7 linked regions of the Macaca fascicularis genome follow. The protein of the gene in region 1 interacts with the protein of each later gene in a pairwise test. Links are inferred from orthologs where the notes say so. Each region holds a gene or a part of one and is shown in the gene's direction. Other genes may lie near its edges. The genes, in order: TRIM32, SDCBP, UBE2V1, PTPN11, ABI2, SCGB1A1 and RABAC1.

Evidence for each region.
Region 2: the proteins of TRIM32 (region 1) and SDCBP interact in binary tests that used the Homo sapiens proteins (3 or more experiments, as listed by UniProt). The two-hybrid records come from large-scale screens. The link is inferred for Macaca fascicularis from reciprocal best matches to the Homo sapiens genes TRIM32 and SDCBP.
Region 3: the proteins of TRIM32 (region 1) and UBE2V1 interact in binary tests that used the Homo sapiens proteins (3 or more experiments, as listed by UniProt). The link is inferred for Macaca fascicularis from reciprocal best matches to the Homo sapiens genes TRIM32 and UBE2V1.
Region 4: the proteins of TRIM32 (region 1) and PTPN11 interact in binary tests that used the Homo sapiens proteins (3 or more experiments, as listed by UniProt). The link is inferred for Macaca fascicularis from reciprocal best matches to the Homo sapiens genes TRIM32 and PTPN11.
Region 5: the proteins of TRIM32 (region 1) and ABI2 interact in binary tests that used the Homo sapiens proteins (3 or more experiments, as listed by UniProt). The link is inferred for Macaca fascicularis from reciprocal best matches to the Homo sapiens genes TRIM32 and ABI2.
Region 6: the proteins of TRIM32 (region 1) and SCGB1A1 interact in binary tests that used the Homo sapiens proteins (3 or more experiments, as listed by UniProt). The two-hybrid records come from large-scale screens. The link is inferred for Macaca fascicularis from reciprocal best matches to the Homo sapiens genes TRIM32 and SCGB1A1.
Region 7: the proteins of TRIM32 (region 1) and RABAC1 interact in binary tests that used the Homo sapiens proteins (3 or more experiments, as listed by UniProt). The two-hybrid records come from large-scale screens. The link is inferred for Macaca fascicularis from reciprocal best matches to the Homo sapiens genes TRIM32 and RABAC1.

The regions. Positions count from the first base shown.
Region 1 is NC_088389.1:41,394,299-41,398,378, reverse strand, and holds the start of TRIM32 (E3 ubiquitin-protein ligase TRIM32), read left to right. Parts: upstream 1-1,280; 5' UTR 1,281-1,329; exon of another isoform or gene 1,330-1,611; intron 1,612-4,080. UniProt on the Homo sapiens protein: E3 ubiquitin ligase that plays a role in various biological processes including neural stem cell differentiation, innate immunity, inflammatory resonse and autophagy.
Region 2 is NC_088382.1:68,531,546-68,535,653, forward strand, and holds the start of SDCBP (syntenin-1), read left to right. Parts: upstream 1-1,308; 5' UTR 1,309-1,352; intron 1,353-4,108. UniProt on the Homo sapiens protein: Multifunctional adapter protein involved in diverse array of functions including trafficking of transmembrane proteins, neuro and immunomodulation, exosome biogenesis, and tumorigenesis.
Region 3 is NC_088384.1:106,203,791-106,208,048, reverse strand, and holds the start of UBE2V1 (ubiquitin-conjugating enzyme E2 variant 1), read left to right. Parts: upstream 1-1,458; 5' UTR 1,459-1,495; coding exon 1,496-1,517; intron 1,518-3,042; exon of another isoform or gene 3,043-3,316; intron 3,317-4,258. UniProt on the Homo sapiens protein: Has no ubiquitin ligase activity on its own. The UBE2V1-UBE2N heterodimer catalyzes the synthesis of non-canonical poly-ubiquitin chains that are linked through Lys-63.
Region 4 is NC_088385.1:119,340,137-119,344,381, forward strand, and holds the start of PTPN11 (tyrosine-protein phosphatase non-receptor type 11), read left to right. Parts: upstream 1-1,445; 5' UTR 1,446-1,652; coding exon 1,653-1,666; intron 1,667-4,245. UniProt on the Homo sapiens protein: Acts downstream of various receptor and cytoplasmic protein tyrosine kinases to participate in the signal transduction from the cell surface to the nucleus. Positively regulates MAPK signal transduction pathway. Dephosphorylates GAB1, ARHGAP35 and EGFR.
Region 5 is NC_088386.1:99,220,140-99,224,145, forward strand, and holds the start of ABI2 (abl interactor 2), read left to right. Parts: upstream 1-1,206; 5' UTR 1,207-1,437; coding exon 1,438-1,554; intron 1,555-4,006. UniProt on the Homo sapiens protein: Regulator of actin cytoskeleton dynamics underlying cell motility and adhesion. Functions as a component of the WAVE complex, which activates actin nucleating machinery Arp2/3 to drive lamellipodia formation.
Region 6 is NC_088388.1:11,638,154-11,642,132, reverse strand, and holds the start of SCGB1A1 (uteroglobin), read left to right. Parts: upstream 1-1,179; 5' UTR 1,180-1,240; coding exon 1,241-1,295; intron 1,296-3,979. UniProt on the Homo sapiens protein: Binds phosphatidylcholine, phosphatidylinositol, polychlorinated biphenyls (PCB) and weakly progesterone, potent inhibitor of phospholipase A2.
Region 7 is NC_088393.1:48,998,616-49,002,825, reverse strand, and holds RABAC1 (prenylated Rab acceptor protein 1), read left to right. Parts: upstream 1-1,410; 5' UTR 1,411-1,494; coding exon 1,495-1,550; intron 1,551-1,831; coding exon 1,832-2,044; intron 2,045-2,440; coding exon 2,441-2,538; intron 2,539-3,670; coding exon 3,671-3,772; intron 3,773-3,855; coding exon 3,856-3,944; 3' UTR 3,945-4,106; downstream 4,107-4,210. UniProt on the Homo sapiens protein: General Rab protein regulator required for vesicle formation from the Golgi complex. May control vesicle docking and fusion by mediating the action of Rab GTPases to the SNARE complexes.

The DNA.
Region 1 (4,080 bases):
CTCCCTTATCCCCTACCTGCTAATTGCAATTTTTCAAATATAGTTATCATTAAGTACAAACTACCATAATCTTGGTTTATCTTCTTGGCAAACTTCACTTAGAAATTTAGAAAATGGGGAGAAAGAGTAAACAAGGTTAAGAGTGGGTTCTCAGATAGAATTGGGTACAAATCTGGGCGCCAATACTTAGGCACAGGTGGCCTTGTTAGGTGTAGGTTAACCATCAGCTGCCTTATCTCATGAGGTCCTTATGAGGATTTAGTGAGCTATGCACCTGAAGTCCTTAGCTGTAGCCAGACAGCAAGTGTTCAAAGATGTTAGTCATTGTTTTTGGTTACTGTTTTATCATTGTGCAGGGTCACATAGCTAAGGGGAATTTCAAATCCAAGACCATCCTACTTCAAACTCCTTTGTGCTCCTAAGCTGTACAGTATAATCACCTTGGAGAATAGGTGATTGGCCCCAAACTACTTCGGGGAGTGCAGGTCGTGGCTAGTCAGTCCTGTATCAGACCTCGTCCTTGCCAGATGCCTAGTGCCCTAGATTCCCTCAAATCTCAGGCCAGGTCACCTCCCAACTGGTAAGACTCCTCCACCTTCACCTCTGACTCCCCAAAACTACACTTGGTTTGGATTCCCGGGTACCTTCAGCCTGCAGGGACAGGGGCTGCAGCGTGTACTCCCCATGTCTGCCTCTGCTGTCGGCCTCCCAGCTGAGTAGGCAAAACGTTCCTTTACAGAGCAATGTGTTCATGGATAAACTTGTCTCTAGTGCAGCGCTCTATCAGAGCACAGGACATGGGGCCAAAGCACTGCCCTTCCTAGGGAGTCCCGGTTCTCGACCTCCCCAGAATGGAAGTTTGATTCTTCCGTTGGCCCATTTCTCAGATGGAAAAACAGATTCAGCAAGGTGCCAACGCTTTGTTGAGGACTACCCTGGAGGCTACAGTTTTGTGAAAGGGTAGACATTTGGACTGGAGTCAGATACGCATTCTGGCTTATCTCCTGACTTACTGAGTGAACTTGAGCAGGTCTCTTTCGCCCATGGGTCTCGGTTTCTTCATCTGCACAAAGGCGACGGAACACTGGATTACGTGTCGCTAAGGCCCCGGGTTCTCAGAGGAAAGCTCACCCCTGCAGGGCCGCCTGGCCCCGCGCGCTGGGGCCCGCTGCACTACAAGCCCCAGCATGCCTCGGGAGGCGGGGCTCAGTGACGGACAGGGAGCTCTGCGAATTGGCGCCCGGCAAAGGGCGCTCAACGGCGCGTGCGCAGAGGACGGCGGGCGGGTGGGCTGGCGGCGGTGGACTCGTCGGAGCTGCGGGCGGTCAGGTAGGGGGCGGGAAGGAGGGCTGGGGACTAGGGACCGCGGCCGAAGTCGTGGGCCGTGGCTCAGCGGCCGGTCGGGGGAACGTGCCGGCGTGCAGCGGCCGCGCCCGAATGGCAGGGTCTGGGGACCGGATCTGAGGGGCAGGACTAGGGTGGGGGTGGGGCTGCCAGGGGCAGGCTCGGGAGGGATTCGTGGGGCTGAGGAGATCCGCGGAGATGGAGCTGGGGGAGGGGAGCGAGGGGCTCTGAAGAGATATGCGGTGGCAGCATCTCGGGAGGTATGAGGTAATGTGGGGGCCCTGAGGAGGAACGGGGTGCAGCATGTGGGAGATGGGAAGGAATCAGGGCCCTGGAGGGACCTGGGTGCAGAATTTCAGAAATATGAAGGAACTGGGGGGCCCCGATGAGATTTGAGGGAATCTGGGGGCGCTAGGCATCTGGCAAGGATAGGGTGTAAGATGATAGGAGCAAGGTCTAGGGCGATTCTAAGTGCTATTGAGAAAGGGCTTTCGGAGTGGGCTGAGGGTGAGATAGAGGGGGTGGGGTGAGTTCTTGGGGGACTCTTGTTAGCAGGAAGAAGGGAGCTGGCTGAGTTGTGAAGGCAGCACATGACATTCAGTGCATAAGAGGAAGGAGCAGGGTTTGAGGGCGGCACAGTGCCTGATGGAATGCAGGAGATGGGGGTTCAGATTGAGGGAGAGCAGAAATCTGAAGTGAGGAATTAGGGCGTTGAACTGAGGTGCGGAGCTGAGTGCGGCAAAGATTTGGAAATAGGGATTAAAGGATCTGTGTCCGAGGGATTTGAGGCATATGAGTGAGGAATTGATGAGGGTTGCGTTATACAGCCCCAAAGATTGGAATTTGGTATTGTAAGAGGGTTGAGGACAGGGTTTGGAGAGGATTGAATCGTGGGGTGGAGATGTCCTAACTGGGCTATAGAATCAAAGGACACTGAGTAGATATGTGGATTGGTGTCTTGGGCTGCTAAAGAGATTTTCCTTAAATCGCTGCATGGGAGACGGGGGGAGTTTAGGGGACCCAAGGACCTAAAAGTAATGTATGAAACTCTGGATGAGTATATGAAGATGAGCAGAGTTCAGGTGTTCAGGAACAAAGTGATAAATCTTCAGTTCAGATATCCTGAAGGAGTGTGGTAATCCCTGTGAAGGGTAGAATCTTCTTCATTTATTAAACAAAGATCCGTTATCATAAGGCAGGTATGGTATTGCCACTAACTACACTCTGACCACCGCCTTCTCCCTCCCCCTCCCCCGGTCCACTGAAAGTGGTAGGCTTTGGGGAAGAAGAAATGGAACTATTCAAGGTCATCTGCCTAAGCCCTTTTTCCTTGTACTCCCAAGCTACCATAGCAGATAGAATGTGAGACCTCCAGGGGAATGAGTGGAATAATTTATCCTATATAAGATCCATTGCAGCTTGAAGGGGCAGTGGCTCTGTGAGTGAGATGTTTGGGCTCGGAGAGGGACAAAAAAAACAAAAAAATCAAACAACAACAAAAAAAGGGAACCCTTATGTATTGAGCATTTAGTCCTGTGCTAGACTGTAAAGCAGTGGTTCTTAATCAGGGGTGGCTTTGTCTCCTAGGAGACATTAGGCAATGTCTGGAGATGTTTTTTGGTTGTCACACTTAGGGTGGGGGATACTACTGGCCTCAAGTGGGTAGATTAAACATTAAATATAATGTTTTATGTTAATGTTAAACATTTGACAATGCATGGGATAAGCCCCTCCCCCCCAGTAAGGAATTATCCTGCCTAAAATGTCAGTAATGCCAAAGTTGAGGCACTCTGCCCTAGAATCAGATACCCTGGGTTCAAGTCCTAGCTCTATCTCTTCCTGACTTTGTGGCCTTGAATGAGTTACTTACCACCCAGTGCCTTGGCTGTTCATCTGTAAAATGGGGTTATGATAACAGGACCTATGTCACAGAATTGTTGTGAGGATTTAGTGAAGTAAATTAGCATGCCTAGGATCTGGCACATAGTAAGTTCTCAAAGTCTAGTAATTTTTAGTCTTGTATCTACTTCTTTACTCAGTTTTCATGACAGTCCTTCTAAGGACTGTATTCAGTTTTACACATGAGGAAACTAAGGCTTAGGAAGTGACTTGCCTAAGTTTTCATAGCTAGGAATGACACAGTTAAGCTCATACCCAGATCTCTGTAACTCTGTATTTTCCCACTTTCCTTGCTAGGACCCGCTTAGTCTTATTTTCTCAGCCCATTCCCCTCTAATGAAAACGAGGATTGCCCAGTGAGAATCACTGACTATCAGATTGAACTCTAAAGTTGGGGGATAAATCTCTCTGACTAGATTGGGAGGAGCCCTGGACTTTGTTCTTGGTTTGTTCTTAGACCAAGACCAGGGGCTAGATAAGGAGAGGAGCTTGAAGTTATCAGGCAGGATGAGGTGCAGCGGACTATGGGGTGAGGTATGGAGGCTGTTGGCTTGAAAAAAAAACCTCACAGCAGGGACTGAGGCTGAAGGCACAGCAGGGACTGAGGCTGAAGGCAGTCATACTTTGAAGGAGAGTAACTACTGTTGTGTATGGTCTCTTTTGGACTGCTTTTCCCTGGAACAGAATAGTAGCATTGGCTCTATCATTTCCAGGACTAGCTACAGCATTGCTGAAGCCAGTTCAGAAACAAAACTTGACTGTATCTGACAGCAAGACTTAGCTGGAATATCCATGCACATCCCTAAAAGAAAATATGTCATGGGAATTCAATCAGTC
Region 2 (4,108 bases), on another chromosome or scaffold:
TGAGTGCTGACATGAGGACCAAGGGAAATGCTCACTGGAGCATTTTGGGTTTTGGAGTAGGGATGGTAAACTCGTAAGTATATAATGCAAATATTACAAAAGCAAAAAAAAAAAAATCAAAAATTGGAAACATTTCTGGTCCCAAGCATTTTGGCTTAGAATGAGTCTGTTTTAAAGTTGTTCATGCAAACTTGCTATAATTGCTTTTCATTCTGTCTATTTTTTTAGAGGAGTGTCAATTTTTTCCAGATTTTCTATGTTAGAAATCATCTCATCTGAAAGCAAAAAGTTGTGTATCTTCCTTCCCAATCTACCTTGTAATTATTTTTAAATGTCCATTTCATCAGCCTAACTATAACCTTACTGACGGCAAAGTTTTCATCTTTAGTTGTCACCTCTTTTACACTCAGATTTTTATTAGTTTTGCCACATATTAAATTATTGTGGCACTAATTTAGCTAGAAATAAACAGCTTGTAAATGCTATTTTGTCAAGGACTCTACAGTATTCCATGGTAACTATGCTTACTCTTGGGTAAACTGTGCCTCAGTTTCTTTGTAATGGGATGTTGTATTTATTTTATAGACTGATGTGAAGACCAAATAAGACTATATATTAAGTTCGTAGAGCTATGGCTGGCACAAAATCAGCCCTCAAGAAATGATCGTTATGTTTTTGTACTGGGAAGCAATTACTTTTGCGCACCACCACAAGTAACTCTCAGCAGCGAAGGAATATTAGCTCAGGAGGACATCGTAATACGCCCCCCCGCCACCCCAACATCCAAATTTCAAACAGAAAAATAAAGCAGGACTTGCGAAGGGGTCGTGAGAAGAACGTTTCTGAGCCTATAGTGGACAGGTACAGCAAGCGGAGAGTGTTACTAGGGCAGCAGTGGTGGAAGTCGAAGGCATCCCAAGAGGGAGCATAGGCTCCAGAGACCTCTTTGAATTGGAGGCGACGAGGACCAAGAGACCGTGAGCTGCGATACACACTGTAGTGAGTGGGTGGCACGGGGCCCGCGGGCACTAACTGCCGAAGAGCGGAGAAGACTGGGAGCATAACCGCTGGGCAGCGGAGAGCGGCCGGCATGGACCGCCCCACACTGCCGAACACCTGGAGCTGCAGGAACGACCCACGCCCAGGCCTCTTTACCCCTACCGCCCGGTTACCTTAGGGACGCGATCACCTGACCCTGCGCGGTGCGCCTGCGCGGGCCGAAGGCGGGGGGCGGTGCCATGACGCGCCTCGGGGGCGGTCCTCGGGCGCGCGCCGCTCTCTTACCCTTGGGCCTCAGAAGTCCGTGCCAGTGACCGGAGGCGGTGGCGGCGAGCGTTTCCTTGTGGGGCTAGGTAAGAGGCCAAGCGGGGAGGAAGGACACCGGTGCCGGGTCCCGGGCGCGGGGACTTGGGGCAGAGGCGTGAGGGTCCCCGGGCCACTTCACGGACTGCATCCCGGTCGCAGCCGTTTTCGGGAGGCAGCGGCGACGCCCTCTCCTCAGGGTGCTCCGCGCCCCTCCCTGCGCCCTGCTGGCTGGGTGGCAAGTTTGCGGGAGCAGCGCGCTCTGCCTGCCGCGACCCCGCGGGTTTCGGGCTCCTGCGTGGGCTGGGGCTGGGGCTGGGGCTGGGGCTGGGGCCGGGGCTGGGGCCGGGGCTGGCTGAGCCCGGAGGCCCGGCCGGGTGAACGCCGGCAGCCCCCGCCCCAGCTCTGGGGTTCTTCCTGGGACAGTCTCTCGATCCTTGTTTTCTCCTCGATACGATCTCGAGTTGAGTAAAGAAAGAGCCTCTGGTCACGGTTCCTCCCCGTGCTCCGCGTTTCTTGGTCTGTACTTAATCACCCTCCTTTTGGGTTATTCGGGAAGTCCTGGATTTGAAAGGAGGAAGGAAGTGTTCGTTTAGTGGGCGAAGCCTTGACTTTTTTTGGAAGGGGGTGGGGAGAGGTTTTTCGCCTTGAGCTTTTTCCTGGAGAAGTTGGACCTGAGGGAGAAACGTTTCCAGTTGGGTGTGTTTAGAAGGAAATACCCCTGAGATCTGACGACTCAGAGACTTCCTTTCAGGATTTCCTTGTAATAATGGGAAAGGGAAGGCATATGGATGTGGAAAGTTTCACTTTTACCAAAGTGGGATTATTGAGTCATAGAGTCTTCGAATGTGCCCATTTTTGAAAGGAGTTTCTAGATTATCTCGTCTGTATAACCACATACAAGTTTACTGTTGACTTTTCCATTGCGTACATTGCTTAGAAAATACGCTCGGCTTACCAAACTCTTAATATCTGCTTGTTTCAAAAATAAATAGTTGATTAAAGGAGGACATTTACATTGAAAAACAACGGCGGGCCTTTTAAATTGATTTCTAAATGTGTATGTGATTAGTTAAAACTCAAATTTGTTCAGTCTTTTTATTTTCCTGTTTAAGATTGAGGGATAACGGTAGAAAATATGTCCTTTTGTCTTCTGTGTTACCAACTTAATTCTATAAACTTTTGTGCCTTAAATGGTACAGAAATATTATAAATCAAGTGGTTTGTGGCACAGAATAAAAAGAAGTAGAATGACTTTTAAAATGGTCAGTAAGTAGTCACTCCATTGAAAATTAAATTTAACTTTGGAGACATTAACTTTTAGTTTTGGGCATTATAGGAAAAGATGTAAAAAGGAGAAAAAGAGGAACAATAGGGGAAGAATTTGCTAATGGTTGCCGGTTAAATGTACTGTTTAAAGAGTTTCTTAAAATGAGCGTGACACAACTATTTTCTCTGTTTTTGCCAGATTTGGGTACTTTTCATAGGTATTAAATGCCAAGAGATTCTAAAAAAGAAAAGCTCCCCCAAATAACTTTAAAATACTTTCTACTTTTAGCAATAGTTAACGTTAGCATTTATTAATTTCTTTTCAAGTGCTGCCAACATCTTTTGTAAATGTATTGTTTTTGAGTAGGTAAACAGTCACATGTCTCAAAATTTAAGCAGTGTAAATAGGTATATAGTATCAAGTCTCCTTCTGGCAGGCAGGCAACTTTTTTACATTTCTTAGGTATTCTAGGGATATTTTATATCTACATAGGCAAACATATAAGCTGTATTTGCCTCCTTTTAGCACAAACATTAACATTTTATATACTGCTCCACATTTTGCTCTTATTTTTCCAGTTAGTGATAATATTTTGGAGCTTTTCTAATATCAGCATGTATAGCTTTCAAGTCTTTTGCTGTTACAGTCAGTGCTGCGGTGAATAAACTTTTACATATGTTGCTTCCTTTGTGCACATATATTTGTACACTTCAGGTTTTGAGACCTGAAGTGATACTGCAGAGTTGGAGGGTATCTGAATTTAGAATTTTGGTAGATACTGCAAACTCACTCTCCATGGTAATTGTACTAGTTTATGCTCCCATTAGTAGTATATGAGTGTTTCTCAAAGCCTTGATGTCAGAGAATGTTGTCAAACTTTGGATTTTTGCCAATTCACTAGGTGAGAAATGGAATCCTATGGGTAAGGATTAAATATTCTACTTGGAGTGGACTTCATATGGACATACTTCTTAATGGCTGATCATTAGAAACCCCCAGGATATTTATTAAAAAGAAGAGTTCCTAAGTCCTTCCATGAAATCTGTGTCTGCCCAGGAAGCTGATTTTATAATAACTAGAGCCTCGGGTAATTTGGCTGTGATGATTAGCCAGATTGAGAAACATTGCTCTGGAAGACTGCTTAGGATATATCAAATTGTGTTTCTAGACCTCATGTATGAGCCATCTGGAATGCTTACCATCTGGGTCCAATGGATACTTTATTTTTTCATTTTTTAGTTTTTATTTTTTTTAGAGATGGAATCTTGCTGTGTTGCTCAGGCTGTTCTTGAACTCCTGGGGTCAAGCAGTCCTCCTGTCTCAGCCTCCGAAAGTGCTAGGATTACAGGCATGAGCCACACGGTTCCTGGCCTGATACTTTATTTTTATATTTTAAATTTTTCAGTCACTCTATGAATAGTTTGCAGAAGTGAAATAATGAAACACAACTTTACGGCCGGGCCCGGTGGCTCAAGCCTGTAATCCCAGCACTTTGGGAGGCCGAGACGGGCGGATCACGAGGTCAGGAGATCGAGA
Region 3 (4,258 bases), on another chromosome or scaffold:
CATCCTGGTTTGCCCTGGAGAGCCCTGGTTTCCACTTGCCCTGGTGAGATTATAATAGGTCCTCTTTTAATCTGATGAGTGTCCTCATTAGGTGATAATCTATGGTCACTCAACTTGTAGAGTTTGCATTTTATCCAGAGGGAATAGGGAGCCACTGAAGGCTTTAGCTGGAGGGTGTTTTGAGCAGATGTTGGTCCATATGGAGAATGGACCATGGGGGAGAGAATGGAAGCTGCCGGGGTCTTCCAAGTAGGAGATAAAGACAGCTTGTCCTGAGTGGAGAAGTGAATGGAGCAGGAGAGATGCAGAGTAGGCATTGTTGTCAGACAAAGGTGATGAATTGGATGTGCTGGGTGAGGGCTTCCAGCTTCCTTGTCCCTCTTTGTTTAGAGTCCTAGTCCTTCTGCCAGTATTTTGCTCTGTGACCTTAAGCCAGTCCCTTCACCTGTCTCAGCTTCAGGGTCTACATCCATATAAGGGCTTCTCAGACAATTTATAATATAGGAGGATTAACTTCTTGGGTTTATTTGCAAAAATATTTCCCGAGGGCCTTTGCACAAGCTGTTCCCTCTACCTCCTCATTGTTAGGGTCTCTGTTGAAATACGACCACGTTAGGAAGCCTTTCCTGACCATCCTCCGCTGCCCTTTTCTTGGTTTATCTCTAGCCTATCAGAATTGTAGTTTCCTGTTTATTTACTTGCTATCTATGACTAGAATGGAAGCCCCTGAAAGCAGGGATTTGCTTCTTCAGAGATGTCTATCCATCCCCAGCTCCTAGCACAGTGTCTGGTACATAGTAGGTGCTTAATGTTTGTTTGGTTGAATGAATGAACGAACGAATGAGTGAATGAATGAATTGGGCAGATGGTTAGCAAATGTTTTCCCTGCCACCTTATTGCCCCCAAATCATTTAGCTGCACCCACTTCAAGCCTTCTCTGGCCAGGGAGCATCAATCCTAGAAGCCAGATCATCTGACCTGGAGGGTGACGATTCAAATTCAAATTTGAACCTGGAGGTTAAAATTCTGTCTGTCTCTGCCACTTAACAGCTGAGTTTAGATAAATCGTTTAATCTCTCTCGGCTGCATTTTTCACATTAATTCCGACCTTGTGGAGATGTGGTGAGGATCTAGATAGGAACTAGACAGGAAAAAGCCCCAAGTGAATTCGGCGCTTTTGTTTGAAGCTATCTTTTCTTTTTCTTTCACAATCGCGCCTTCCCAAGCCTCGTCACCCCTGCCCTTCTCACTAAGCACGTCACAACCTCCCTCGCACCCGATGTGGGGGGACTTGCAGGTTGCTGAGCCCTCGAGCACGCAGATATTTCCTTTCTCTAAAAGGGAAGGAAAAGAGCCTCCCCGGCCTCGGGTCGCGCAGGTCTCCGGAGCGGGCGTCAGTGGCGGCGTCTGTGCGTGCGCGCGCGCCTGCGCATCAGGGCCAGGGGACGGGTGGGGGGTGAAGAAGGGGCCGGCCTTCAAGCAACAGCGACGCAAGATGGCAGCCACCACGGGCTCGGGTGAGCGGGGGCGCCGGGCCCGGCCGGCCGAAGGGGCATGGGCTTGGGCCGGGGGCTGGGGACTCTCAAAGGCTCCTGCAGGGGGGCCAGGGTCCCCGCGCCGCCTCTGTCCGGTGGGCTCCGCTGCAGCCACGGGCAGGCGGTGGCCGGAAGCACGGGCGGGGGGCTGAGGGGCCTGTGGGCGGCGCGGCGAGCCTTAAGGCTCCCCCGGGAGGCGTGAGGGCCCCGCTGCGCTACCTGGGGGAGCCGGAGTGGGCGAGGAGCGAGCTCCAAGGCACTTCTGAGGAGACCGGGGCTGGCGACTCTTTAAGGGGCGACCAAGGGGTTCCTTAGAGGAGGAGGCGCCCCACAGCGGATGGAAGTCCCGTACTGGGTGCCAGGGGTGCGGCTGAGGGGGGGGCCTTGGGATGTCTGGAGGGGACATCAGAGGAGCCCCTCAAGCTGGATGGGAGGAAGAAACGGGATCCTGAGGGGGTGACTCGAGAGGATCCCCTATTGGTTGAGGGGACGGCTCCGGCGTTAGTTTTAGAGATAGGGTTAGCCGAGGAAATAGCTGTGTTGACTAGAAAGGAGGAGCCTTGGAGCGGCTGCTTTTGGGGAGAATTAAGGAATCTCCGCATGATAAGTGAGAGCGGGGGGGAAAGGATTCAGATGCCACAGGGACTTGATTGCAGTGATAGTGAAATGACCCCATCATTACCAGTCTCCTATTCGAGGATACAGATGGATTGCTCCAATTTCGCTTTCAGGGGACAGGTCCGTTGGGGCAATTGGTGGAAGCCTCTGATATTGAATGAGGAAGAACAGGTGAATTGGGAATCCCGAGGATGTCTCTTTGGGAGTGGGGATTCAACTGAGGGAAGCCCCTGAAATGAGTTAGTGGAGAAGGTCGGGTTCCAGAGATGTTTCTTGTAAACGAGATAAGTCTCCTCTTTTTGAATTGAGTGAGGGAAGCATATCCTAGAAGTGTCTCTTCTGTGGAGACGCTCACTCTCATCCACTCCTTTGATAATTGGGACAGATATGTGGGTTCAGCTCAGAAGTTCCCCACTGGCTGATGGGAGTAGGGAGGTGAATAGATGAAATGGACACTCTTGGGTGAGGCTGCACCCTCGGGTGCCTGGCAGTGAAGTTGGCCAAGGAGGTGCTCTCAGATGGGGTGAAGATGGGTTACCTCTGATGGAGGAAGGAAACAGAACCACAGTGTTCCCCACTGTGGGGCTGCAGGGACACGAACCTGAGTACGGCAGTCATTGGGGTATTTAAGGCCACAGCAGGGGCAGTGTTGGGAAGGAATTGGTGATCCATGAGAAATAGGGTGAGGGAAATTCTTTACAGTGTTGCTCCTCTGCGGTCTCAAGGAGCCATACTTGTCTGATGGTTGGGGTGAGAATAAAAGAAATTGAATATGGGGGATCTGACTGAAGTGACCCACCAGAAGCTGCTGCCTTTTGCATTTAAAACAGTGGGGTCTTCTTGCAGCATAGCGGAGACCATGAATCCTTTTACTCGATTTTGGTTTCAGCTGGAACAGTGCTGAGTCAATTCATTTACCAAGACGCTGCCCCAGGCACTCCCAGAAGAGAGATTCTGAGTCAGGCCAGACTGCTGGGGGAAACTTCTCACCAGAATAACACTCGTACCAGGTCGTAATGAAGCAAGGGGCCCAGTGTGCTGGCGGTAGCCAGCAATAAGGTGCTGTTGCAGCTCAGCCCTGCTTGCAGTCACTCGGTTGGCTACCTACAATCTGAGTTAACAGGTGCCCGATTCTAACTTCTGGAGACCCTGACAGTTAAAAAGTGAGTGCTTCGTAAATGGCTATGGCGATCAGATAAAATGTCAGCTGCTCTCGAGTGGAATACAAGAGCATTTGGCATGGTTTAAATAACATAGAACAGGCTTTGAGGTGCCCTAAAATGGACTTCCCAAAATTCTTTTTGTCTGTTTATTCAAAAGATATTTACTGAGGGCCTATTATGTCCCATTGTGGATAGCAAACAAAACAGACATAGTCTGTGTCCTTTGGGAGCTTCCATTCGAGTCAAGGAGAGAAGGCTGTTAAGGGGTAAATAAATAAGACAATTTCAGATAGCAGTAAGTGCTATGGAGGAAATTGTGTGATATGATAAAGAGTGTCTGGAGAGGTGGTCAGGGAAGGCTTCTCTGAGAAAGTGACATTTCAACTGAGGGGAATAATGGAAAGCGCCAACCCTACAGTGTCACAGGTAGGAGAGAGGGTGGACTGTGAGTGCAAAGGCCTTGTGGTGGGACTGAGCTTGGCATGTTGAAAGAACAGGATAAAAGGCCTTAGTGTGCAAGCAAGGCTTGTTAAAGAGATGAGTTGGAGAGACATGGCTTTGGATTTGACTTGGTGTGAGGGGAAGCCATCAAACAAGTATCTGGTATGAAGTAGGCAGTCAGTAAATATTTGTTGAATGAATAAATAAGAGTCTTAAAAAGAGGAGTATGGCAAGATCTGACCTAAGTCCCTAGGCAGTGAAAAGAGTGCAGGGTGCTAAGAGTCCCTAGGCAGTGAAAAGAGTGCAGGGTGCTAAGCAGACCTTACTTGGGTTAAACTAAAATGAGTGTACAGGCCTCCCTGCTTTCTAACCCTGAGAAGTCTTCCAGGTGTGGTCAGGGCCCTGAGGCCTTCCTTAGTCAGGTTTAGAGTGAGGCTCTTTATTAATCTGTGCTTCTGGTTGCCAGGAAACAGCTGTGAAGCCTTTGAGTTCCTGTAAGGG
Region 4 (4,245 bases), on another chromosome or scaffold:
ACTCTTCTCAATCTGGTCTGAGTCACCATTATTCCCAGACCAGAATACTACAGTATTCCCGTATTTTGACTGGCTTCTCCGTTTCTGGCCTTGCCCTCTTCCTCGAGCTTCACAGTGTCCAAAATAATACTTCCCCACCACCCAGCTTTTTCGTTTGTTTGTTTTTTGTTTTAGAGACAGGGTCGTGCCATGTTGCCCCGGCTGATCTTGAACTCCTAGGCTCAAGCAATCCTCCTGCCTCGGCCTCCCAAAGTGCTGGGATGAAGGTGTGAGCCACCATACCTGGCCTGAGTGCAGTGGCCTGATCTCGGCTCACAGCAGCCTCGACCCTCCAGGCTCAAGCAATTCTCTCACCTCAGCCTCCCGAGTAGCTGGGACTACAGGCGCGTGCCACCACGCCCGGCTAATTTTTGTATTTTTTGTAGAGATGGGATTTCACTATTTTGCCGGGGCTGGTTCCCAACTCCTGGACTCAAGCGATTCGCCCGCCTCAGCCTCCCAAAGGGAAGTGCTGGGATTTCAGGCGTGTGCCACTGCTCCCACCCCAAAGTAGTATTTGTTATTATTATTATCGAGACGGAGTTTGGCTCTATTGCAGGCTGGAGCGCAGTGGTGCGACCTCGGCTCACCGCAACCTCTGCCTCCCAGGTTCAAGCGATTCTCCTGCCTCAGCCTCCCAAGTAGCTGAGATTACAGGCGAACGCCACCACGTCCAGCTCATTTTTGAATTTTTAGTGGAGACCATGTTGGCCAGGATGGTCTCGATCTCTTGACCTCGTGATCCGCCCGCCTCGGCCTCCCAAAGTGCTGGGATTACGGGCGTGAGCCACCGCGCCCGGTCTATTACTAGTTTTTTTAGGCAGTGTCTTGCTGTCGCCCAGGCTGGAGGGCAGTGGCGTGATCACGACTCACTGCAGCACCGACTTCCCGGGCTTAAGTTATCCTCCCGCCGCAGCCTCCACGCCTGGCTAGGGTTTTGCATTTTTTGTAGAGATGAGGTCTTTTTTGCCCAGGCTGGCCTCTAGCTCCTAGGCTTAAGCGACACTCTTGCTGCAGCCTCCTAAATTGTTGGGGTTACGGGCGTGAGCCACCGCGCCCAGCCTAATGGAGGAAACTGAGGCTCGGAGACAGTAGGTAATTCCCCAAGGTTCCACAGCTAATGAGTCGAGTGGCGATTTGTGGAACGAAATGAATGAAATCGATGTGGCAGTGGGCCCGGACGCGCCCGGTCGGTGGAGTGGCGTAGCCGCCGAGCGCGCAGCTCACACCCGGCGGCCGCGATTTCCGGGAGGAAGCAAGGATGCTTTGGACGCTGCGCTTAGCGCCTCCGCGGAACCCCCGCGCTGCCATTCCCGGCCGTGGCTCCGTCCTCGGCTAACGGGAAGCAGGAAGTGGCGGCGGGCGTCGCTAGCGGTGACATCACGGGGGCGACGGCGGCGAAGGGCGGGGGCGGAGGAGGAGCGAGCCGGGCCGGGGGGCGGCTGCACAGTCTCCGGGATCCCCAGGCCTGGAGGGGGGTCTGTGCGCGGCCGGCTGGCTCTGCCCCGCGTCCGGTCCCGAGCGGGCCTCCCTCGGGCCAGCCCGATGTGACCGAGCCTAGTGGAGCTTGAGCAAGGAGCGGGTCCGTCGCGGAGCCGGAGGGCGGGAGGAACATGACATCGCGGAGGTGAGGAGCCCCGAGGGGCCCGGCCCGGGCCTCGGCCCGGCCCCCGCCGCATTCGGTCAGCCCCGTCCGGAAGGGGGCGCCCCGGCCGGGCTTCGGGCTCCCGCCCCGGATCGGGATTGGGGGCCAGTTCCCTCCTCGTCCCCTGTCCCTCCTCGGCCCGGGGGCCGGCCCCACCGCGCCCCCACCCCTTGGGTCCCCATTCATTTCCTGCCTCCCTGAGTTCCGGCTGCGGCAGCCCGGGGGATGCCCGTCAGGCCTGGGGCAGGTAGAGCCGCCTAGGGAACCACGGGCGCCAGCGGCCCGGCTCAGCGCCGCATTCCTGACCCATTGCCTCATGAGAATTGCCTCATGGTGATTCCGAAATAACCCTGCTCACTTGGGGAGGCTCCTTGGGACACGAGATGGGAGTTGCGCGGGGCCGGGCCCCCAGTGGTCTAGTCGTTCTGGGTCACTGTGCCACTTGCGTGCATTTGGGGTCTTAACGAAGGACCCCTGACCCTTTTATGTGCCCCTTTGTGTCTTCTTTTTCTCCCACCCCTCACGTGCCAGAAATGGAAAAACTGACTGTATCTGCAGCCACTAGAAGTATTTCCTTCCTCTGCGATATTCGCTTTGGGAGATGGAAAGGAAGGGAGCCGCATCTCGTTATTTAATCCTTCACTGCAACCTTAACAGTCAGGTCACTTTACTGGTACCCGTTTTATGGATGAGGAAACCGAGGCCCAGAAGCAACATGCTAGTAAATGACAAGATTTGAAACTAAGGAGAATTAGTGAGTTAATGAGATCCTTTGAAAGATCAGGGTAATATTACTACTAATAGCTAACATTTGCTTAGTTCTGACGACAGCCCTCTCAGATGGCTACTATTATCCCCATTGTAAAGATGAGTAAACCGAGTTTCGGAGAGGTTAAGTAGATTGCTTAACCTCACAGCTAGTAGGTGGTGGAGACAGAATCCCTACTTTTAATCACTATGTTGCTTCTATTATTTTGTAACTATTGCTAACCACTTGTAAGCCTTAATTTTGTTGTCAAACAGTAGTGTGACTTGTTTTCAGATAATGATCCTGCTATTTTATATAATCACTCTATATACCACTCACACTTAAGACCCATTGTCTATTCTTTTCCATGGTTGTTCAATTATGGTCACTGTCTCAGACATTTAAAAAACGATTCAAGCTATTGAGGCTATTTGAATGAGATTTTTTTTTCTTTCTTTTTTTTTCTCTTTTTTTGAGACGGAGTCTCACTCTGTTAACAGCCCAGGCTGGAGTGCAGTGGCACGATCTCGGCTCACCACAACCTCCGCCTCCTAGGTTCAAGCGATTCTCCTGCCTCAACCTCCCAAGTAGCTGGGACTATCGGCATGCCACTATGCCTGGCTAATTTTTTTTTTTTTTTTTTTTTTTTTTTTTTTTTTTTTTTTTTTGAGACGGAGTCATGCTCTGTCGCCCAGGCTGGAGTGCAGTGGCCGGATCTCAGCTCACTGCAAGCTCCGCCTCCCGGGTTCACGCCATTCTCCTGCCTCAGCCTCCCAAGTAGCTGGGACTACAGGCGCCCGCCACTTCGCCCTGCTAGTTTTTTGTATTTTTTAGTAGAGACGGGGTTTCACCGTGTTAGCCAGGATGGTCTCCATCTCCTGACCTCGTGATTCGCCCGTCTCGGCCTCCCAAAGTGCTGGGATTACAGGCTTGAGCCACTGCGCCCGGCCTAATTTTTTTTTTTGAAACAGAGTCTCGCTCTCTTGCCCAGGCTGGAGTGCCGTGGCGCAATCTCGGCTCACTACAAGCTCCGCCTTCTGGGTTCAAGCCATCCTCCTGCCTCAGCCTCTCAAGTAGCTGGGACTACAGGTGCCCGCCACGACGTCTGGCGAATGTTTTGTATTTTTAGTAGAGACGGGGTTTCACCATGTTAGCCGGGATGGTCTCGATCTCCTGACCTTGTGATCCGCCCGCCTCGGCCTCCCAAAGTGCTGGAATTACAAGCATGAGCCACCGTGCCCGGCCGAGTTTTGTATTTTTAGTAGAGACGGGGTTTCACTATGTTGGCCAGATTGGTCTTAAACTCCTGACCTCGAGATCCGCCTGCCTCGGCCTCCCAAAGTGCTGGAATTACAGGCGTGAGCCACCGCACCCGGCCTGAATGAGATTTTTCAAAATATTAGGAATGTCTCCTCCAAACAGACCTGGCATGTTATTCTTACATGGATCTGGAATTTAAAAAGGGGAGAAAAAAGAAAACAGAACTCGTAGGAAGTGAGTGACTTGGACAGGTCTGTTGGCAAGTGCTTGCGGATCTGGGTAATATATAACTGCATTTCAACGGAACAGTGTATAGCCTCAAATGTTCTAATTCTTTAGGGAGCTTTTAAATAAACAGTTGTCTATTCTTTAATCTGTCTAATAGTCATTGAGCCTTTTGTTCCTGGTGTCTGCTCTTCCAGACAAGTAAGGATTTGCTGCTTTAGGGGGCTGAGGGTTGGGAAAAGATCTGTGTAGTATTAGACCCTACATTGTCCAGTTTGTTAGTTTAGAAGCATGGAAGTGTGGGCATAGTCAAAGCAGCAAGTGGTAA
Region 5 (4,006 bases), on another chromosome or scaffold:
TGAGCCACCGCGCCCGGGCTAAAGTGACTTTTTTTGGAAAGTATGTTTCCTCATCATCTGAGTGAAAAAAAATTCACTGTAGGAGGGCCAAGAGATCACCAGATTAAGAACAGTGTTGAAACAATGGATCTTGTTCTAACTACACAAGTCTAAGATGGTACAGACTGGAGTCAACTTTGATTTTCCACAGCACAAATAAAGGTCATGGCTTCATATCTCAGCAATTGTCCGGAGTTTTAGTTTTTCCAGATTACACTGTGTGGGGTAGTCGGATTTAGGAAAACAAGACACAGTATCTGGAGAATAAAAACAATTATAACTCTGCAAGAACAAAATTCAAGAATCTGCCTTGAATTTTTGTAGCACTTGATGTTTCTTCAAGGTGTTTTCACGTAAACGTTGATTTTATCTATGTAACAGCCCTGTGAAGAAGGCAATTACTACTAGCAAAATCGTTTTCAAAATTTTAAATACCGAATCCATGAATAGGAAAAAGGACAGCGAAGTTGATAGCATTAGAGAAATGACAGAAAAGATCGTGAGGAAGCGATTCATAGAAATGGCAAACATAAAAAGCTGAGGCCCAGGGGTCCGCAAACCACAAGAGAAAGGGGCTAACCTGGCAGGGGAGAACGGCGTTAGTGGGGGAAGTGCAAAGAGGCAGGAGCGCAGGAAAGCTGGGGTTAGGAAACTGCAATTCACTGCAATAAAGAGGATGAGGTCAAATTTAAGAAAAATGAAGTCAGGTGGCATTGAAAACTGCGTGGAAGTTTGTGAGTTTTATTCCTGCCCTGATGAAGTGTGATCTTTCACAGAGGAGGATCCCAAGAGTGGAGGCTGTGCCCTCCTTCGGCCTCCCGTCAGCGGCAGAGGCAGAAAAGACTCGAGAAGTTCCCCAGGCCGATAACCTCCATGGGGACAGAGCCGAGATGAGTCCCGGAGGAAGCCGGCGGGAAGCCAGCAGAGCAGGGTGGTGCGTTCCCGCCGGACTAACAAAGGACGCCGGGAGGTGGGGGCTTCTCGAGTTGCTCCAGCGGTGGGCGGGCGGCGGAAGGGTTAACAGCACCACCACCTCCCGTGCGCATCCCGCTCCTACCCCCGCCGTCGCTAGGAGACGCCGGAAGTGGGGGAGGGGCCGGCGGCGCGGGCGAGGGTGGGAATCTTTTTCGGGCTCCCGGGGGCGGAGGGAGGGGAGCGCGCGTGCGCGCGCCCGGCCGGCCGTCGCCGCGGTGACCGTCCTCGCAGTCCGTCGGCTCGCGCCCCGCCCCCGTCGCCCCCTCCCCTGTCGCGCGCTGGGGCTGTTTCTCGCTCCTCCCGAGTTACCGCCGCCGTCGCCACCGCTCCTCCTCTCCCGGTCCTGGGTTTCTCTGGCGCTGCGGCCGCCGTTCCCTCTGCGAGCTGTGTGAGGAGGAGGAGGAGGAGGAGGAGGATGTGAAGATGGCGGAGTTGCAGATGCTGCTGGAAGAGGAAATCCCGGGGGGCCGCCGGGCCCTCTTCGACAGCTACACGAATCTGGAACGGGTGGCCGATTACTGCGAGAACAACTACATCCAGGTGCGAGAGCATCCCCCGCTGGGGCGCGTCGGGCCTCAGGGGGCGGTGAGGAACGCGTAGGGGACCCCCCCATGGGGGGCCGCGCGCCTCGGGGTGTGGGGCCGAGGCCGCCGCGGGGACACGGCCCGGCGGAGTCCCCGATGGGGGTGGGGAGCTGGGTGAGGGCTGGGGCTGGTGAATGGGTGGGAATCCTCCGGCTGGAGAAACTGCATTTTTAAAACCTTTTTAAAAGCCGTGAAGCAGTCCTCGGCGCGGTGCGTGTGTCGCGTCCCGCCTCCTCGCCGCTGCTGCCCTCGGCCGCCCCCGCACTCCGCGCCGGTCAGCGTTCCGGATGGCAGAGGGGGCGGAGAGTGGCATTTTCTGTTTGACGGAATCCTGCTCCCTCTTAGGGTAGGGGTGTCGCTTGTATTGACGGGTTACTTCCATCCCCCACATTCTGGACGATTTTTAAGGGGCTATCTTGCTGCAGAGTGAAGTGCTTCAGGCTTCAGTTTTCTGTTCCTGTGAATGCTTCAGAAACCCTTTCTTAATATTTTATGTTCTAAAGGGGATACGGTAGAAGAGCAGCAGTCTCTTGTTGGAAGTTAATGCCATTTTTCTCCCTGTGGAGAAGGATGGTGAGCTGACTCCCCCCTCCCTCCTAGTCCCGTTAGAATAGGCAATTTTCCTGGGGGTGGGAAGAGGACGGACTATGACTGTTTCTTAGAATCGGGAAGATGAACCTCCTGTTTTTTAAATTTTTTTTTAATTATTATTTTTTACCGTGATGGATCGTTTGGCACAGGGGCTTATAGTGGTAGCGGCGTGTGTGTGGAGGCGGGGGATACTGGATGATACGAGATCCAGCTGCTCCTGGATGAAGCAAAATATTCTGTGGATTAAAGAAAAATCCTTCTTTAAACATTACTTGAAAGGATAGCAGGTTAAAATGCAGTTTGCAAAATCCAGCATCTTTTGCTTTTTTGTTAACGGTTATTTTGAATTATGGATTCTGCCTCCATTTTTTTTTTCTTTCCTATTTAAATTCTCTTGGGATAAAGGTGGAAATGGAAGCAGTATGTTGAACTGTTTCTTCACAGTCCTTTTTTTTTTTCCCCCCCCCTGCTCCCACCTCCATCTCTCCAGGGATCTTTCTTTTTTCTTTTATTTTTGAGACACAATCTCGATCTGTAGCTCAGGTTGGAGTGCGGTGGCCCAATCTCGACTCACTGAAACCTCGGCCTCCTAGGTTTGCGCAAATTCTCGTGCTTCAGCTTCCCGAGTAGCTGGGACTACAGACGCCCGCCACCAGAGCCGGCTAATTTTTGTATTTTTAGTAAAGATGGGGTTTCACCATGTTGGCCAGACTGGTCTCGAACTCCTGACCTCAAGTGATCCACCCACCTCGGCCTTCCAAAGTGCTGGGATTATAGGCGTGAGGCACCTTTCTTAACGTTAGCTGTATAGGAAAGCATTTTCATGTTTTAGTGTAAATTTTAAGAAACTGGTGTTACAATTTTATAGGTTCATAAGTTTTGTAATGGCCACATTGTTGATCACGGAAGTGAGATTTTGTTTGATTAGACATACTATTATCTTGTAGACAACATTTGTATTTGAAAATGAACCACAGTATAAACCTGTTCCCTCAAGAGGCAGTTGAGTATGGCTACTAGGAAAGGAATGTAGGCAAGGTTAATACAAAAACATACAAATGTCCACTTGTAAGGTACTTTGCTGATATGAGTGGGGTAGAAAAGATTCAGAGGTTCAGGCCTGGGCGACAAGAGTAGAACTACATCTCAAAAAAAAAAAAAAAAAAAAAAAAGGTTCAGTTGCTCAATGTTTCTCTAAAATTGAAAGTCTTTTATGGCCTAGAACTGTGTGAGGGGTGGATGGTACATACCTAGTGTCTACAGAGTTTGATAGTCTAGTTAGTAGGAGAGGCTGATCTTGGAGGAAATTAATACCATGTAGTTAATTTACGCTCTGTAGTGCACTGCTGGTGCCAAGGAGGACTGGAGGAAGCAATGCTGTTCTGAGGGAATTCACAAACTCTAGTAGAGGCAAAACCTAAAGGACTGAAGTGGTAATTCCATTGCCTTGTGCAGCATATTATGGGGAAAGAGTTGCAGGTCAGAAGAGAAATTGAGGGTGGAAAAGTGGATTGCAATTATTACCAGTAAGAAATAAAAAATAAGCAGATTTCTCTCTCTTTTGCAAGATGGTTTTTTGTTGTAATTTGAAGGGACAAGTTCGTCTTAAGTTATAATTGCTATATAAAGGTAAAAGGATAAGGATTATTAAAGCTGAAAGGTTAAAGGGAGCAGCAGTTGTCTTTTTAAATATTATATACATTTCCTGCAGTTGAAAAGAGAAAAATGTCACTACTCTCAGTATCTGTTTTAGCAATGGGACTCAAAATTTAGTGTGGTGACATTTTAAAATTTAAAACGTAAATATTAATATTAAT
Region 6 (3,979 bases), on another chromosome or scaffold:
ACATTCTCAAATCCACAAATAGTAAGAGAGGGCTAAGTCGCTGTGTCGGGGAGAGGAGAAGTGAAGTTCAAATGGTAGGCAAAGGCCAGTGGGCAAGGGCCTTGTAAATTGCACTTGAATTTTATTCTATAGGCAAAAGGAAGAGTTTAAGGGTTTCAAGAAGGACATGACCAATGGGCTTTAGGAAAATCATTCCGATGGCCTTTCCGAGGATGGCTGAGGAAAGCAAGCTGGGAAGCAGGGAGGTTGAGTCAGGGGATTTTGACTAGGCCAGGCTAGGTGCTATGAAGCCCGGGCTTTGGAGAAGAACCAGGAAATGGCAACTGGAGGCAAGAAAGAGGAGAAGGCCAAAGCCTGGGAACCATCAACACTCAAGAACAGTAAAGCATAAACATCTAAAGAGAACAAGAAGGAATAGCCAGAGAAGGAAAACAGGAAAGAACTGAGGCGTGGGAGCGCAGGAGAGAGAATGGTTCGAGAAGGAAGCGGTCGCAGGTGTCAAGGCCGTTGGGAGGTCAAGTGAGATAAGGACTGAAGGTCCTGCCAATTGGCCCATCAGGAGCACAGGACTTGAGAGCACTTCTGGGTGGGAACAGACCCAGCCTGTGGCAGGGCTCGGGTTTCTGATGGGAATTCTGGAAGGGTCCCTTTTGTTCAACAGTCCAGGGCCCCCCCAAGTCTGACCACGGCAATGCTCCGAACCACGTCACTTTCCTGGCTTAAGGTTCAGTCGCCCTCCTCAGAGGGGAGCCTATGAAAGAGCCCAGTGGAGTGTCAGCATCCTAAGTCCTAGTCCTAGTCCTCTCCCTGCCACTTGGGAGGGACCTTGGGCCTCAGTTTCTCCAGGTGGGCTCCACAATTGCTTCTCTTGACCTGGACTGCCCCAGTGCCCAGGTTCAGTGACTGACACAGGCAGCTGGGTTTCCCCATCCTCTGACATGGGTTCCCTTCACTGCCTTCAGGCATGGCTCGGCACTCCACCCCCAAGGGGCCCATTGTGTGAGCTCAGTTTCAATGGGGACAGAAACTGAGTTGAGAAACGGGAATATTTACCTATTCCGCCGAGCCAATGCCCAAGCAAATAGTGCGGTATCTTACGTAGAGCCCTTGCCCTACCCTTCCCCATCTGGGCGCTGCCGCCTGGAGCATATAAAAAGCACCTTGCTGGGCATGTCTCCTACTAGCCCACCAGTCTCAGAGACGGAATCATTGATGGGCCAGAGCATCCCCCGCCTCCACCATGAAACTTGCTGTCACCCTCCCCCTGGTCACGCTGGCTCTCTACTGCAGCTCCGGTGAGTGCTCAGAGTCCCTTCCCTCCCTCCTGGACTTAGGAACTCTCAGGACCCCCCAGTTTTGCTCAGAAGAAGGGGTGAGCTGCCCGTGTCTGCTCTGTAGCCGCTGGGAGGACCTGGGCATGCTGAGTCTCAGAAAACTGGGTCTGGTGAGCAAGTTCATCTTGGGAACTTGGAGAGAGCCCCAGGCTGTGAGGAAGCATAAAAAGGGTCCCATCTTCCATATCCAGCAACCCTCAGAATCCCAGGGAATGGAATAGGCTGGAGGGAGGGGTGGAGGACACCTCATAAAGATGAGTGCATCCAGCATAGGAATAATGAGGCCCTCCTCCCAGACCTGGACACACCCCAAGATGCCGAGACCTTGGTGCAGCCTCCAAGGCTGGGGTCTCCACTCCATGCTGGCAGCTGAAGTCACTGGAAGGGGAACTGCAGGGACTCATGACCCCAAAAGAAACCCAACCCAAGACAAGGTATCCCATTCTGGGCACAGAAGAATATTCCAGAAAGAGATCTTCCCTTTGGGGAACTGCCAACCCAGAGTGGAGTTTTCTAAACATTTCTGTCCTCTGCAAAAGGGATTAGGAGTCTCTGAGTAGTTGCTGCTGTCATTAAAAGGAAAAGAATTGTGGGGGAAAGAGGGGTGGACAGAGAGAGGGAGAGAGGGAGAGAGGGGAGAAAAGAAGGAAGGAAGGATCACACCTCTCTCCAAGATCCCCCGTCTTTGGAGAACTGGGTTATCTAACTCTGTTTTTCACTCTGCATCAGCCTCTTCCATTCTCGTCTGAAAATGTTGTTGTTGTTTTTTAATAAATAAACTCCAATTAATTCACTTGGAAAGCTTCACAGCACCCATGGAGATAAGTTTTATGACACTGGGGAGTTAGAAAACCCAAACCAAGAAGCAGTAGGAACAACTATTTTGCAGCAAGGCTTATTTGTTTTTCAGAGAAAATGACATCATCTTGGACTGAAATGTGTATTAATTAGATCTCAGTGCTGTCTGCGTACAGAGGTGGGTGGCTGAGCAAGATAGTTCTGAAACATGTTAAGGGGTGGGTCAGATGCATTTCATTTGTCTATTTGTGTGCGCACACATACAATATTTAACGCTTCACGCAATGTGACAATCACTGTCACCCTTTCACATAGTATCTCTTTTCTTTTTTCTTTTTTTTGGGATGGAGTCTAGCTCTGTTGCCAGGCTGGAGTGCAGTGGCACACTCTCAGTTCACTCACTGCAACCTCCGCCTCCCGGGCTCAAGCGATTCTCCTGCCTCAGCCTCCCAAGTAGCTGGGATTACAGGCACGCACCACTGTGCCCAGCTAATTTTTGTATTTTTAGTAGAGACAAGGTTTCACCATGTTGGCCAGGATGGTCTCGATCTCTTGACCTCATGATCCGCCCGCCTAGGCCTCCCAAAGTGCTGCGATTAGGCGTGAGCCACTACACCTGGCCTCTCTTTTCATTCTTACAACAACTCTATGAAGTAAGGATACTGGGCCAGGCACAGTGGCTCACGCCTGTAATCCTAGCACTTTGGGAGGCCAACTCATTTGAGGTCAGGAGTTCAGGACCAACCTGGCCAACATGGTGAAACCCTGTCTCTACTAAAAATACAAAAATTAGCCAGCCATGGTGATGCATACCTGTAGTCCCAGCTACTTGGGAGGCTGAGGCAGGAGGATCACTGAACCTGGGAGGCAGAGGTTGCAGTGAGCCGAGACGGCGCCACTGCACTCCAGCCTGGGCAATAGAGCGAGACTCCGTCTCAAAACAAATAAATAAATAAAAATAAAATTAAAATTAAATTAAAATTTAAAAAATAAAAAATAAAATGAAGTAGGGATATTGTTCCCATTTTACAGATGAGAAAACTGAGCTACGGAAAGACAGAGTGACTTGCCTGGTGACATAGTAAGTTACAAAGCAAGGACCTAAGTTCTGGAGAGGGTCTGACTTAGAGTGGCCCTTTCTAGAGAGGCCCTGGAGTCAGAGGAGGGAAGGCAAATTTGTACGGGAGGCAGAGAATTCAAGGACAAGGGATTTAAGACTCACTGGGAAGATGGAGGCAAGCAGGGGGTAGAAAATGGTGACTTTCCCCCATGTTCCTGATTGTAAGGACCTGAGAAGAAAACACAGTGTTGAAGCTCTGTGTTGAAGGGAATGCAGCGGTACAAGTGGCTGCTCTGTCCATGAGCTGAGTGTGCCACACTTCCCGGCCAGGTTGGGAGGCCCATGTTTGGCTGGTACAATCACAATGGCTTCTTCCTTTTTTTTTTTTTTTTTGAGACAGAGTCTCACTCTGTTGCCCAGACTGGAGTACAGTGACGAGATCTCGGCTCACTGCAACTTCTTCCTCCCGGCTTCAAGTGATTCTCCTGCCTCAGCCTCCCAAGTAGCTAGGATTATAGGCACCCAGCACCATGCCCAGCTAATATTTTGTATTTTTAGTAGAGACAGGGTTTCACCATGTTGGCCAGGCTGGTCTGGAACTCCTGACCTCGTGGTCCGCCCGCCTCGGCCTCCCAAAGTGCTGGGATTACAGGTGTGAGCCACCGCACCCGGCTTACAATCGCTTCTTCCTGCCAGAGCCTGAATTTGTCACATGCCCGCAGTGAAGCATGGCTCAGGGCATCCCTAGCCACTGAGGAGAGGCAAGTTTCCGGCGGGTAACAAAACC
Region 7 (4,210 bases), on another chromosome or scaffold:
TCCCAGCTACTTAGGAGGCCGAGGCAGGAGAATCGCTTGAACCCAGGAGGCGGAGGTTGCAATGAGCAGACATTGTGCCACTGCACTCCAGCTGGAACAACAGAGCGAAACTCCATCTCAAAAATGAAAAAGAAAACCCGATTCCACTAAAAGCCTGGGGGTGACAAAGAGGAAATAAATAGTAACTAGCCAATCTGATCTTCAAAGTGTAACTCTTCCATCTTCAGTGTGGGGCCCTTGCAAAGGGCTTCCCTGCCTATTGCACCACCAGCCCCTTGGACAGGGCCATCTTCCCCCCACCTCCTGGGAACGCCTTCCAGCAGGCTTCCAAGCACAAACCCTGAAGTGCCGTAGATCTTGGAAGACAAGACCTGGGCCTAAAAGAGTCACTTGGGGCCAGGCACAGTGGCTCATGCCTGTAATCCCAGCACATTGGGAGGCTGAGGTGGACGAATCCCAAGGTCAGGAGTTCGAGACCAACCTAGCCAACATGGTGAAACCCCGTCTTTACTAAAAATACAAAAAATTAGCTGGGCATAGTGGTGCACGCCTGTAATCCCAGCTAGTTGGGAGGCTGAGGCAGGAAAATCGCTTGAACTCAGGAGGCAGAGGTTGCAGTGAGCTGAGATTGTGCCATTGTACTCCAGCCTGGGCAACAAGAGTGAGACTCCATCCCAGAAAAACCCACAAAACTTCCCAACCTTTTCTCTTTCCCAATTTCACTCCCTCCTGTCCAAAGGTGTGTGTGTTTGCAGGTGGGGGGGGGGTGGTGGCGGTGCGGAGGTGTCCCTAGTCCCAACTCATTCATCTTTGGGACTCCACAAAGTGGGGCAGGGGGCAACCTCAGATACCCCTCCAGCAACCATGACCCACTCACTAGCCTCAATCTCTTGAGGAAGGAATCAATTCCCACAAACTCTCTAAATCTTTCTACTCAAAATGTGGTCCATGGACCAGCGGCATCAGCATCACCTGGGAACTCAGAAATGCGAATTATGGGCTCCACCCCAGACTTGCTGAATGAGAACATCTGGGGTGGGGCCCAGGAGTCTGTTTTAGCAAGCCCTCTAGTTGTTTTTTTATGCCCTCTAGAGTCAGAACGACAGCTCTGCACGGTCCCCATTGTGCCCTGCCTGGGAGAGTACACAACACCCTCTTCTGCCATTAGAGCTCCCATAACGCCCTCTTTCCTGACAGCGCACCTGCACCCTCCTGAAACTACAGGTCCCACAATGCCCAGAGGTGCGCGCCGTCACTTTCTGGGATTATATCTCCCAAGGTGTCTTGCGAGTCAGACCGCCATCATGGCGCCCACCCTCCCAGCCACCGTCAGGACTACAACTCCCACAATGATCGGCGGCAGAACTACAGTCCCCAGCTGCTCCCGAGCGGCGCCACGTCGACTCCGCTGGGTGGGGCCGGCCTCGGGCGGGGCCGGCGGGGTCTGCAGGGTACCGGGCTGGTTACAGCAGCTCTACCCCTCACGACGCAGACATGGCAGCCCAGAAGGACCAGCAGAAAGATGTCGAGGCGGAAGGGCTGAGCGCCACGTGAGCGAGCCGGCTCTAGGCCCTCGGACCCGAGGCCCGGGAGTCCGGGACCCTGGCCCCCTCCTCCCTCGAGTGCCCGGAGTCCCAGCCCCGAGACGCACAAGCGCTGGCCCCGGTCTCCTCTAATGGGACCCTGGCGTCTGGGCCCCTACCCCCCTCCCCGCCTGCGATTCAGTAATCTGGGGTCCCGGGAGGGAGTCCAAGCCCCCTTAAACCCCTTCTTTTGCGGGGGTCTGAGGCTCCATCCCGGTCCACCACTGACCCGGCCCCACCCCTCGCAGGACCCTGCTGCCGAAGCTGATTCCCTCCGGTGCAGGCCGGGAGTGGCTGGAGCGGCGCCGCGCGACTATCCGGCCGTGGGGCACCTTCGTGGACCAGCAGCGTTTCTCACGGCCCCGCAACCTGGGCGAGCTGTGCCAGCGCCTCGTACGCAACGTGGAGTACTACCAGAGCAACTATGTGTTCGTGTTCTTGGGCCTCATCCTGTACTGCGTGTGAGTGCATCCCGGGCCCTGCACCCGCACTAGCCCCGACCGGGTGGACCCCTCCTCTCACAGCTCAGGCCCCGCCCTTCAGCGCCCGGGCCCTCCTCTCACCACCCAGGCCCCCCTCCTACCGCCCAGGCCCCTCCCCTCACCGCCCAGGCCCCTCCTCTCACCGCCCAGGCCGGCCCCGCCCCCAAGGATTGGCTCTGCTAGACCTACTTTGTCACCAAAGGGCCAGGTCCCTACCCCACCATCACCCTGGCCAGGATGCAGTGTGACTGAATGTCACCTGGCCCTCCCTGGTCTCCAGAATGTAGCTTGCCTCCCGCCGGTGGAGAAGGCCAGGGCTCCCTGGCTGACCAGCCCCAGCTGCCTAACCGCTGCCTCCCTGCACTCCTCCTCCAGGGTGACGTCCCCTATGTTGCTGGTGGCTCTGGCTGTCTTTTTCGGCGCCTGTTACATTCTCTATCTGCGCACCTTGCAGTCCAAGCTTGTGCTTTTTGGTGAGAAACCCCCTGCCCAGATGAATCCTTGGTCCCTCGAATCTTGGTCTTTTGGAATGCAAACCTCAGACCCCAAATCCAAGTCCTTCAAAACCCAAGTCCGCCGAAGCCTAGATGTACACTAGATCTCCCAAACCTGATCCTTTAAAAATCTCAGACACAACCGATGCTCCCATCGAGTCTCAGCCCCCTCAAATTGCTATTCCTCAAACCTAGGCTCCACCTGGCTGCTGTGCCTTAAACCTACTCCTCTTCAAACCACATGACTCCTCCCCTCTCTCCTCCCCTTGCCGCTTTCTGCGGCAAGCATCAGCTGCAGGTGCCCACACTGGACACCAGGTGGCGAACTTACACTGGCCTAGATCTGTTCCCGTTTCTTTTCCTGCTTTCTGGGATGTGACCAGAAAGAACTTGGAACTTGGGGAAGCTGAGGAGTGTGTTTCATGTGGTTCCCAGACTAGTACCAAGGACCACTGGGAGAACAAAATGCCAGGGGAAATTCCCCCCAGGGGAAAATCAAGGTTTGGAGTGGGGTCAGGGAGTTGGGATTGGGCTGTCAGGTAGACCTGAAGGCCAGGCTCTTCAGGGGCCTGCAAGTTATGTGCATGACGGGCTTAGGGGGAGGGAGCGCCTGCAGCACAGGCACCAGAGCATGCAGACCCCATCCCTGAGACTTCTATGGGAAGCGTGAAGTTGGTATTTTTATGTGAAATCATTCACTTTGCCAGCCACAAATCACATCCTTGTAAAACATCTCAAAACAAACACACATCCACAGGTCAGATTTGGCCTTTGGGCCACCAGTTTGAGACCCCTGGTCTGCGTGAGGGTTGCAGCAGGAGAGCCCTAGTCTAGGGAGCAGGAAGCTGGGATCCCAGGAACTTCCTGGAGGATGTGGGGCAGAGGGCAGAGCGTGGGGCTGAGGCAGGCGAGGACGGTGTGCTGTGTTCTGGAGGGCAGTGAGGACACCAGGGGAGCAGGGTGACCCCAGGACCTGGAGGGCCTTGGCATGAGGAGTTTGGATTTGATCCCGAGGACCTGAAGCTTATACAGATTGTTGGGGGGCAGCAGGGGTTACTCTGGGAGAGGGCATGAAGGGTCGGAACAGCGCCCCAATGCCATCTGCTTTCAGGCCGAGAGGTGAGCCCAGCGCATCAGTACGCTCTGGCTGGAGGCATCTCCTTCCCCTTCTTCTGGCTGGCTGGTGCGGGCTCGGCCGTCTTCTGGGTGCTGGGTGAGTACAGGGTCTGAGCAGCTGGGGTGGATGGTGGGGGCCAGGTACAGGAGCATGGCCCTGAGCTGCCGGCTTTCCTGCAGGAGCCACCCTGGTGGTCATCGGCTCCCATGCTGCCTTCCACCAGATTGAGGCTGTGGACGGGGAGGAGCTGCAGATGGAACCCGTGTGAGGTGTCTTCTGGGACCTGCCAGCCTCCCGGGCCAGCTGCCCCGCCCCTGCCTACTCCTTCCTGCACAGCTCTGCTGCTCGGGCCCATAGCGCCGTCCCATCACAAGCCCGGGGAGGGATCCCGCCTTTGAAAATAAAGCTGTTACGGGTGTCATTCAGGAAATACTCCCCTAGCATCTTCTGTGGGTCTCTATGGGTGCAGCTGGGAATACTGTGCAGATCAGGGTTGGGGTGGAACCTGGGGTGTGGGCAAGATGATAAGGTAAA